Canis lupus familiaris: one gene and its partner. The protein of the gene in region 1 purifies or fractionates together with the protein of each later gene. This does not show direct contact. Links are inferred from orthologs where the notes say so. Each region holds a gene or a part of one and is shown in the gene's direction. Other genes may lie near its edges.

What was found.
Region 2: the proteins of PPP1CA (region 1) and ERBIN purify together in Homo sapiens (affinity purification with mass spectrometry; 3 studies listed by BioGRID and IntAct, counting the BioPlex papers as one, with this or other methods). This does not show direct contact. The link is inferred for Canis lupus familiaris from reciprocal best matches to the Homo sapiens genes PPP1CA and ERBIN.

What each region holds. Positions count from the first base shown.
Region 1 is NC_049239.1:50,564,293-50,569,751, forward strand, and holds PPP1CA (serine/threonine-protein phosphatase PP1-alpha catalytic subunit), read left to right. Parts: upstream 1-2,312; 5' UTR 2,313-2,408; coding exon 2,409-2,463; intron 2,464-2,988; coding exon 2,989-3,120; intron 3,121-3,276; coding exon 3,277-3,507; intron 3,508-4,063; coding exon 4,064-4,168; intron 4,169-4,364; coding exon 4,365-4,588; intron 4,589-4,671; coding exon 4,672-4,806; intron 4,807-4,883; coding exon 4,884-4,994; 3' UTR 4,995-5,127; downstream 5,128-5,459. Other genes in the region: TBC1D10C (carabin), read right to left, coding at 42-141, 890-1,134. UniProt on the Homo sapiens protein: Protein phosphatase that associates with over 200 regulatory proteins to form highly specific holoenzymes which dephosphorylate hundreds of biological targets.
Region 2 is NC_049223.1:50,842,418-50,847,919, forward strand, and holds the start of ERBIN (erbin), read left to right. Parts: upstream 1-2,146; 5' UTR 2,147-2,168; intron 2,169-3,620; exon of another isoform or gene 3,621-3,714; intron 3,715-5,502. UniProt on the Homo sapiens protein: Acts as an adapter for the receptor ERBB2, in epithelia. By binding the unphosphorylated 'Tyr-1248' of receptor ERBB2, it may contribute to stabilize this unphosphorylated state.

The sequences.
Region 1 (5,459 bases):
AGGCAAAGGGGGATGACTGAAGAGTCCCATTGTCCCCTCACCTTCTTGTACCGCCGAGACATGGTTTTCTCCCAGTGTGAGGTCATCTCCACCCACTTCATCTCCCGCTGGCGGATAAGGTCTGCAGGAGGGTGACCTGGCCTGTGGGCACAAGGCACAGGCATCGAGGCGTTGGCTGGCTCTCACCCAGAGCCCACCTCTGCCACCTTCCATGCTACCCGGGTAAACTCAGCTCCTGGTTGTGGGGATCTCTAGGGAGCCCCGGGTGGGGGGTAACCTATCACCCAGGAGTTGCCAGTGGTTGTCATAGGGACAGGAGAAAATGTGGCTCTGATGTGGGCAGAAGCAGGAGAGGCTGAAGGGGGTGTGTAGGTGTGTGTTGGGGGAGGGCAGGGGCCAGGTGGCTGTCCTCCAGGACAGGAACACAGACAACTCATAAGAGAGGCAGGTGGCCAGAGCCAAGGGCTAGAAGCTAGGAGTCCTGAGTTTGAACCTGATTCTATCTGATCTGCCGTGTGACCTTGGGCAAGCTCCTATCTGGAATTGTTTTCCTGTCTGTATATCTGGAAAGGAAGATGGTAGGGATAGAGGTGTGGGTTCTTTGGTTTGGTTCTGGGATTATCATGGCAGGGATTAAAAGCAGAAGGATATCTGGCCCCAAGGATAGGTGCAAAGGCTGGGAGATTGGGAGTCAAAGAGACACATGAGGGACACTCTTGCCGCAGCCCTACCAGCTTTAGGATTCCTCCTGGAACATGAGGAGTAGGGACACTGGCTGAGTCCCCAGGCCCTCTAGGACCCTAGGAGTTGAGCCTGTCTCTAGAATTCAGCCCTCAACCCCCATCCTCACTCCCAGCACCCCACTGCCCCTCATCCCTTCCCCACTTACCCTGGCTCTGCTGAGCTGCCCCCAATGAAGCCATAGCGATCAGCCTGGCGATATGGGCCAGGCCCACTCAGCTCTGAGTCGGACCCCAAAGAGCTTGAGTCATCCTGCAGCTCGAAAGGTTGTACCAGGTCCTCCCCCAGGGCCTGGGCCATGGTGCCCCAGACCCAAGCTACCACAGGCTGCAAGATGTGGGGAAAGCCAGTGTGAGAGGCAGCTTCTGACCAGCCTGGGGCCTGAGCTCCCATCCAGCCGGTCCCCAGCCCGGGGACCTGGCTGCAGGGTTCAGAGGGCACAGACTTCAGGGCATCTCACCAAGCCCCCTCTGTCCCCTCTTTTATCGGGGTGGGAGGGTGAGGGTGAGAGTGAGCCTTGAAATGGCAGAAAAGCCAGACCTCTGTGTAGAGGCTGGTCCCCAGGCCCAGCCCCTGCCCCCCCAGGCCAGCTTACCTCCCTGCTGCACCTCACCTCCTCCTCTCACTTCCTCCTTCTCAGCAGCTTCAGCCACCGGCTGGGGGGCCCCTCCCACACTCCCCTCCCAAGTGTGTGGGGGGGTCACCTCTTCCTCTCTGAGGCTCTTCCGGCCTGCCCCAGTGCCCCCAGGACCGTGGGCTCCTCCCACCCTCCCCATGGGCTGGGTGGCTGCAGGCTTGGGCTCCAGAGCAGGGTGTGACCAGTCCAGGACCCACCCGAGTTACAGAGGCCAGGCCCCTCCAGTTTTGAGGTTAAAACAATTCAAGATTCCAGTGAGAATTCTCGTTTATTTAATATTTGCTCTTTACAAGTAATGCTTTGAATATATACCTAACGCAGCGTTATTATGCACTCAGCAGGCAATAACGGAACTTACAAAAATTAGTTCAGCGTGCAGCACAGCGTGGACCAAGATGGGTTCAGAGCGCCGCGGCAGGTGCCTGGGTCTGGCCAGCTGCCTTGAGGGCCGCAGAGACTCAGGAGGTGGAGGCCCCCCGTGAATGTGAGGCCAGGGTTTTGGACCAACCCACCCCCCTGCTATCTCTTGAGTCTCCGTTTCCTTTTCTGCACTTCGAGGACTTGATCCGCAGTGTCTGGAGCATCGGTTATTAATGTGCTCATACCACGCTCCCGCCCAGGGGGTGGGTTAGCGTCTGACAGAGACAAACAACTCCCACAGCACTTCCGGCCCCATATTCTCGGAACTGGACTCGGGTAACTCCTCGGGGGCGGGACCAGACTCGACCCCGCCCTCCGAGCTCCACCCACCGGCCGGGCTCCGTCCCGACGGCCGAGCTCAGCCCGAGCCCCGCCCCGTCCCCTATGCCCCGCCCCCCGGGCCGCCGCGGCCGCTGCGCGCGGTGTCCGGCGGGAGCGCTAGAGCGCGGGGGCAGCGCGCAGGGCGGGGCGGCGGGCCGGGGAGGCGGGGCGGCAGGCCGGGGCGGGCCGGGGCGGGCGGAAGGAGCGCCAGGCCGGAAGGAGGCAGCGGGCGGGAGGGAGGGCGGCAGGAGCGGGCCCGGAGCTGCTGGGGCGGAGCGGCGGCGCCGCCATGTCCGACAGTGAGAAGCTCAACCTGGACTCCATCATCGGGCGCCTGCTGGAAGGTTGGCCGGGGCCGGGGAGGTCGGTGCCCGCCGCGCCCTGGCCCGGAAGTGGTGCGCGGGCGGGCCTGCCCCTCCCCGGGCCAGCTTAGACTGGGCGGGGACGGGCCGCAAGGTCCCGTGGCCACAGCCGCCCCCCGAGTCGCGGCGCGCCGGGGGAGGGGGGTTCCGGGGACGCTCTGGCACGGGGAGCAGCCCCCCTCCTGGGCGGGGGGCGCACGGGTTGGCCTGCGCTATTGGGAGTGAGGGAGAAACCTAAGAAGCCTAGCTCCACCCCTCCCAGGGGTCCTGCGCTATGGGTGGGGTGTTGGGTGGCAGGCCCCCGCGCACAGCACACCCCCTCGAGGGGGTCCCATCCTGGGAGGCCAGAGGCGGAGGTCCTGGGAGGCTCACCAGCAACAGCTGCCCCTAGGCAGGGAGGGGCCTAGGAGGCCCAGGCGCCCTCAGATGTGCCCATAGGGCCACTTGTGTCGCCCACCTTCCTCCTGCCTGAGGGACCAGAGTCTTGACACCCCATTCCTCCCACAGTGCAGGGCTCGCGGCCTGGAAAGAATGTACAGCTAACAGAGAACGAGATCCGTGGTCTGTGCCTCAAATCACGGGAGATTTTCCTGAGCCAGCCCATTCTTTTGGAGCTGGAGGCACCCCTCAAGATCTGCGGTGAGTCTGCTGCCCAGATCCCTTTGGCTTTCTGAAAGTGGAATCCCCACTTCACCCCGCCCAGTCCTTGCATTGCTGCTCCCTGGAGCCCGAACTTGGCCCTGGGTTCAAGTGTAGCCCCTGCACCTAGCGCTGAACCGGTTCCCTGGGTTACAGGTGACATCCATGGCCAGTACTACGACCTTCTGCGGCTCTTCGAGTATGGTGGCTTCCCTCCAGAGAGCAACTACCTCTTCCTGGGGGACTACGTGGACCGGGGCAAGCAGTCTTTGGAAACCATCTGCTTGCTGCTGGCCTATAAGATCAAGTACCCCGAAAACTTCTTCCTGCTCCGTGGGAACCATGAGTGTGCTAGCATCAACCGCATCTATGGCTTCTACGATGAGTGTGAGTAGCCCAAGTCCTTAAGTGACTTCCCTTTTCGGGGAGACCCTCACATAGGCCTGGCAGTAGGGGAATTGGTGTCTGACCACTACCCACAGACCGCGAGCTCTGCGAAGGGTGCACACCAGTTGGTGCCTCTCTGCCTGCCCTCCTGCCGTGGGGCCGGCACGCAGGAGGGGTCTGGGGAGTGACTGCTGAGGACTGCCCATGTTCTAATGCAGGGCCCTGCCTCATGACACTCCCCTCCAGGACATCCATTAGGCACTTGGGATGCCTATTTGGACTGGATCCTACCAACCAGAAGCTGAGATAAACCAGGCCTAGTCTTGGCCTGGCCCTGCTCACTGGGTGCGGGTGGGTTGTTTCGGATTGGAACTCAGGTTCCTCTGGACCTAGCTGCTTTAGAATTCCTGGAAGGCTGGTAGGCAGCGGAGTCGGGGGAGGGGGGATTCTCTTCTTGTCTGCCATTCTCTTCTCCCAGCTGTGTCTGGAGGGCCTCAAGACCCAGGCTGGCTGTGGGGCAGATAGGCCTCATGAGGCATCTCCTTCCTCCCAGCAGGCAAGAGACGCTACAATATTAAACTGTGGAAGACCTTTACTGACTGCTTCAACTGCCTGCCCATTGCTGCCATCGTGGATGAGAAGATCTTCTGCTGCCATGGAGGTGAGAGTGGCTCTAGGGTACATGTTGAAGGGTTCTTTGGGAAGGAAGAGCCCTGGGCCACATCCCGGGGAGCCCTGGGATGAGGCTGTTAGCTGGAGGATGTCTTCCCCGTCACCTGGAAGACCTCTCCCAGTGGTCTTGGTTTGCATGTCACTCTTTGTTTTGAGGCTTAAGCAAGTAACCTGCCCTCCCCCAGGCCTGTCCCCAGACCTGCAGTCCATGGAGCAGATTCGGCGTATCATGCGGCCTACAGACGTGCCGGACCAGGGCCTGCTGTGCGACCTGCTGTGGTCTGACCCTGACAAGGACGTGCAGGGCTGGGGCGAGAATGACCGTGGTGTCTCCTTTACCTTTGGGGCTGAGGTAGTGGCCAAATTCCTGCACAAGCACGACTTGGACCTCATCTGCCGGGCACACCAGGTGGGCTGGCAGCTCTGGGGCGGGTGGGAGTGGGGCCTGGGTAGCCAGCACCTGCTGAACAAACTGCCCCCATCCTCATCCAGGTGGTAGAAGATGGCTATGAATTCTTTGCCAAGCGGCAGCTGGTGACTCTCTTCTCGGCTCCCAACTACTGTGGCGAGTTTGACAATGCAGGCGCCATGATGAGTGTGGATGAGACACTCATGTGCTCCTTCCAGGTTGGGATGGGGGAAGGAGGGGGGCTGGTGACCCTGTGGCTTAGCCCATGAGTTTGACCAGCTCTTGTCTTTTTTAGATACTCAAGCCCGCTGACAAGAACAAGGGGAAATACGGGCAATTCAGTGGCTTGAACCCTGGAGGCCGGCCCATCACCCCACCCCGCAACTCCGCCAAAGCCAAGAAATAGCCTCCGCGTGCCCGCACTCTGCCCCAGATGGTGGATTTGTACAGAAATTACGTGGCCATAGGGGGTTCACGCTGGCCCCCCAGGCCCACCTGTCACGGGGAACACGGAGCCTTGGTGTATTTTTTTTTTTTTTTAATGAATCAATAGCAGCGTCCAATCCCCCAGGGCCCCTTCCGCCTGCTATAGTGGTGGCAAGCAGGATCCTGGGGCTGAGGCTGCAGCTCAGGGCAAAGCAGGGCCAGATGTGGGTTTCCAGCCTTGCTTGGCCTCAGGGCTGGCCGACAGATCCTGGGGCAACCCATCTGGTCTCTTGAATAAAGGTCAAAGCTGGATTCTCGCCATGGCCTCTGTCTCCCTTGTCCCAAATACTGGGCCTGGCAGCCCTTCTGTCCAGGGCTGCTTGGGAGGATAGGCATGCTGGGCATGGGGCCCCAGCTAGGGCAATCCCAGCCATAGGCTCAGGTC
Region 2 (5,502 bases), on another chromosome or scaffold:
GCACAGACACAATTCCTGCTGAAGATACTTTGCAAAGGCATCATGAAAGAATATTTGTCAAAATAGGTAATATTGCTAAGTGTATCCTGGCTTCCGGCCTCTTAAAGTCAGTGCTTTGGGGCTCATTCTTGCCCCACGTGGGACTCATTTAACAATCAAATGGGGAAGCACTTTATTGTCTGTACTTCTCTCCATATATTTCCCCAAAGAATGCAACCACATTTCCCTCTCCTATTTTTTTAATTATTTTTTAAATATCTTATTCATTTATTCATGAGAAACACACAGAGAGGCCAAGATACAGGCAGAGGGAGAAGCAGGCCTCATGCATGGAGCCGGACGTGGGACTGGATCCCAGGTCTCCAGGATCAGACCCTGGGCTGAAGGCGGAGCCAAACCGCTGAGCCACCTGGGCTGCCCTTCCCACTCCTATTTTGACAGCATCGGCATATGCTATCTCTATATTCCCTGCCATCAAAAGCTGCTTTGGGGAAACAATCTGATGAATTAGGTATAAATGACTAATAAGGCTTAAATGTTACCTTTCCCAGGATTACAGCTTTGTTCTAGGGAAATAAACTACTCAAAGGGATTAAACTCCAGCAGCAAAATTTTAGGTGAGCTGGAGGAGGGGTTTTGGTTAGAGAAAGTTTTCCAGCCTAAGTGGTAATCAGCTGATGGGTCCCCAAGGAGGAGTTTAAATAGGGGGAGATGGTGTGTGTGGGGGGGATAAGGCCAGGGTCAGTACAGGTCCTAACCTAGGGACTGGTCTGGTCCTATTATTTAGGTTTGGGAATCTATGATGCCACATTTAAAGGGGTCTTGAAGAATCCCTGGGTGGCTCAGCGGTTTAGCGCCTGCCCTCAGCCTGGGGTGTGATCCTGGAGACCAGTGATCGAGTCCCACATTGGGCTCCCTGCGTGGAGCCTGCTTCTCCCGCTGCCTCTCTCATTGTGTCTCTCATGAATAAATAAAATCTTAAATAAATAAAGGGGTCTTGAAGTAACCTGAGACCAGATACAACATTGGAATTCCAGATTGCAGCTGGTATGGGGAGACACTCCATCCTGGGGCTTCTTCACTAGGGTGACCCTTCCAGCTCAGGGCTATGCTACGGAGTTTGGTCAGACCGAAGCCAGTTTTTGCAAGGGGAGCAGGCAATCCTTTTTGTGAGATTAAAAATAGCAGTTAATGGGGATCCCTGGGTGGCGCAGTGGTTTAGCGCCTGCCTTTGGCCCAGGGCGCGATCCTGGAGACCCGGGATCGAATCCCACGTCGGGCTCCCGGTGCATGGAGCCTGCTTCTCCCTCTGCCTGTGTCTCTGCCTCTCTCTCTCTCTCTCTCTCTCTGTGACTATCATAAATAAATAAAAAAATTAAAAAAAAAAAAATCAAAAAAAAAAAAATAAAAATAGCAGTTAAACAATACACCAACCTTAAGATTTTAGGCAATGGCTAAGATTCATAGTCACGTGACTTAACTGGTTCGGTGTCAGTTACTATTACACCTGGCTGTCCTTTCGTTTCCAAGCAGCCGTAGTTCTACGCTCTCCCACCTCCAGTGCAGGACTGAGTCAGCCTGAGCGCCCTGGTGCTATTTGGGAACCTTCAACTTCTGCTCTTGCCCTAAAGAACTACCTGCGTTCATTCCAGCAGCTCTGCAAGTAGCGAAAATGCTGTGACACTAACCAGACGGTCTTGACCACCTCTGGAGTGATTCCAAGCGTTTTCACTCGCGTCCAGCTCACCCCGGTGAACAATCAATTCTTCGATGGACTTTATGAACTCCTTCCTTTGGATGCAAGCCAAACATTATCTATAGGGCATACGGTTCTTTACTCAAACTTGGCAATAAATGATTATCTCTGGAACACAGACGGAAGGACTGAAGCAAAGGCGTGGGGGACCCAGCGGCTCCTCGGCGCCCCGGCAGGGTTCCGCGCCGCGGAGGCTGGGGGCGGGGAACGGTTTGTTCCGCGTCTCTTACGCTCCTGCTCCCGAACAAGGCCGTCCTGTCTGTTAACGTATTTAAGGCAGTGACTGCAAAAAACTGTGCAATGTTATGGTCGCAGCGCTCTCTGCCATATGTGTTGGTGGAACGCTTAGGAGTCTCGCTCCGCAGTAAACGCAAACCGTGCCAGGCTGGAAGACCGCGGCCCGCGCGGCGAGGTGCAGGGCTGCGGCGCCGGGGCCGGGGGCCGGGGGCCGGGGGCCGGGGGGCCGGGGGGCCGGGGGGCCGGGGGCGCTCCCCGGAACAAAGGCACGATCCTGAGGCCGTTTCGCGGGCCGTCCCCCCTCCCCCCACCCCAGCGCCAGCTTTGTCTCCTCGCGCGTGCGAGGCTGAGACTCGGAGGAGCCCCCGAGCCGGAGGGGCCGGCGTGGGAAGCTGCCCCGGCCGCCGCTGCGGTTTCCTGCAGCGCGACGAGCCCTTAGAGGAAGTGGGAGGGCCGCGCGGGGCTACCTGCAGCCCGCCGAGCGGGGCTGGACCTGAACCCCGCGCCCCCGGGGCCGTCGTGCGCCGGGGCCCAGGCGGCTGGGAGGGCGGGGGGCTCGGCGCCCCGGCTGCGCGGAGGAGCTGGGGTCCCGGCCCAGCTGGGCCTCGCGCGCGCAGCCCCGCCGCCGGGCCCTCCCCGCGCCCCCCGCGCGCCCCCGCCCCGCCCCCGCCTCCGCCCCCGCCGCCCCCGCGCGCCGGCACTGGCTCGCGCAGGCCTCCTGCCCGGCCGTGGGCGGGGGGGCGAAGCCCGCGGGAGGCGCCCCGCCCCGCCCCGCCCCGCCCCTGCCCCGCCGCGCGCAGTCTCTCCCCCTGCCCGCCGGGGCGGTGGCGGTGGCGCTGCTGCTGCCGCGCGGCCTGCGAGGCCGGCACTCCCCTCCGCCCGGCTCCCTGCTCCTCCTTTCTCTCCCTCCCTCCCTCCCCCTCCCCGCCCCTCCCGCCCCTCGCAGGCTCGCCAGCCCGAGCGAAGGTGGCGCGGCGGCGCGGGACGCAGCCTCGGCCCCCGCCGCGGCCCCGCGAGCCCGAGAGGACCCCCGCGCCCCGCCCCCCCGCCCCCCGCGGCCCCCCGCGCCGCCCGGGGGCGCCCCCGCCGCGGCCGCCCGGAGGAAGCGCGAGCCGGGGAGCGAGGGGCCGGCGGCGGGAAGCCGGGAGAGGGAGGAGAGCGCGGCTCGAGGGCCCGCCCGCCGCGGCGCCGAGAGGGACGGACGGACGGACGGACGGCGGCCGGGGACGGGAGGGGCGGGGCGGGGAGGGGCGGGGGCCGCCCGCGAGCTCGCCCGGCCCCTCGGCGGCGGCCCCGGGGCGGCGGCGGGCGGAGGGCGCGGCGGGCGCTGTCGAGACAATAACCCGGAGCCGGAGGCCTAGCGCGGCCGGGACCCCGCGCCCCGCGCCCCCCGCGCCCCCCTGCACCCCCCGGCCCCCGGCCCCCGGCCCGGGCCCGCCGCCGCGGGGACGCACTTGCGCGCCGTGATTCCGGGCGGTGTCACGAGTGAAAAGTTTTTTTTTTGCTTTTTTTTTTTTTTTTTTCCTGCTCGGCGGAGATCCCGGTCGGGCTGGGACGGCCCTGCCCCGCGGCCCCGGAGCGCCGCCCCGCCCCCGCCGCCGCCGCCGGCCGCCGCCCGGGCCCGCCGCACATCCGCTCGGCCGCGGCCCGGGCGCCCCGGGAGGGAGCGGAGCATGGCGGGCGGAGCGGCGGGGGAGCGGCCCTGAGCGGCGCCCCGACAGGTAACTAGCTCCCGCCGCAGCGCCCGAGCCCGAGCCCGAGCCCGAGCCCGGAGCTCCCGGGTCCCCCCGCGCCCCCCGCGCCCCCCGCGCCCCCCGCGCCAGCCCCGAGCCAGCCCCGCGCCAGCCCCGCGCAGCCCCGAGCCGGGTCGGGCGGGAGGCGGCGCCGGCGGCGGAACGGCGGGACCCGGGGCCGGAGACTCGAGACCCCGAGACCCCGAGACCCCGAGACCCGGCGCGGCAGGTCCTCTGTGCCGCCCCGCTCCGCAACGCCGACTTCCCCAAAACCTATACGGTGTGTGCACTTCTGCATCAGGGAAGTTGCTGAACCCGGCAACTTCTGTTTTGGGGGGAAAAAGTTAGGTCCCTGCAGCGAGGGCTTTACCGTCGTTGAGATGGCTGCCGCAGTTGTGGGTCCTGCTACCGGCTATGGGACTTTTGCCTTAATTTTTGTCTATTTTATTTTATTTTATTTTATTTTATTTTATTTTATTTACTTTATTTTATTTTATTGATTTAATTTTACTTTATTTTATTTTTTTATTTAATTCAATTTTACTTTATTTTATCTTATTTATTTTTTATTTACTTTAATTTTACTTTATTACTTTATTTTACTTTAATTTATTACCTGTATTTTATTTTACTTTATTATTTTTTATTTTATTTTACTTTATTTTATTTTATTTTACTTATTTTATTACCTTTTATTTTACTTTATTACCTTTTTTATTTTACTTTATTATTTTTTATTTTATCTTTATTATTTTATTTTACTTTTATTTTACTTTATTACCTTTATTTTATTTTACTTTATTATTTATCTTTATTATTTTATTTTATTTTACTTTATTTCATTTTATTTTACTTTATTTTACTTCATTCTATTTTTCTAGTTGCAACCTTTAGAAACGTCTTTGGTTGGATTTTTATCCACAGACTTTGCCCTTCTGAGTCTTCCCTGTTGTGTTGTTTTTTGTAAATTTTAGGTGAGTGATCTGTTTCTCCAGTTAAGTGGCTCCTTTCAGACATTTACAACCCTAATGATACTTGTTTGGTCAATGAATCGAAAGCAAGTTTTCTGCTCAATGTTTCTTGTTAACTGACCTAGGAAGGAGAAGGAGAGAGTGAGCGTTAAGGTCGCCCAGCCTTGTAGTGAAAAAAGAAAAAACAAAAAACAAAAATACAGCCGTGAGTAGTTTGATCTGTTAAGACTTCTCTGCAGTTGAGAACAGAATGTATAGAGAGGGAAGTGAAATGCTTAAAGGGATCGTTGTGGGAGTCGTATTGATTATAACAAACATCTGTCCCTTTAGAATAGTACTTTCCTTACGTCTCTGTAGGTTTTAGGTTTTGGTCCTAAGGTTTTGGCTGGTTCTGTCTAATAAGCCACAGGGACCTCCTGTGGGGGCAGGAATTAGTGAAGCACGGGAGACAGCCCACCAGTCGGAGTTATAAACACTTCTGAGCCAATCGGTAGTCTTTGTAGAAAAAACTACTTTGCTCACAACAAACACAAATAGCTTTTTTAATCGGTATTTTAGTGTGTCTTAATTTTTTTTTTCTCTCAGTACTTTGGTAAAGTAGGTGAAACCTAATACTGTGCTTTTGAATAAATGTTAAAGAAGTGTGGCATCCTTTGGTAGGTATATCCTAACTATAAATTAATATTTACTTTGCTCGTGCTACCCTATGAAAAATAGTTGGCATTCTTTAGTTCAGAGAAAAGATAACTTTTGAAGAGCAGGATCAAATTATTTCACAGCTTGTTTGTTGTTAGGTGAACTGCAT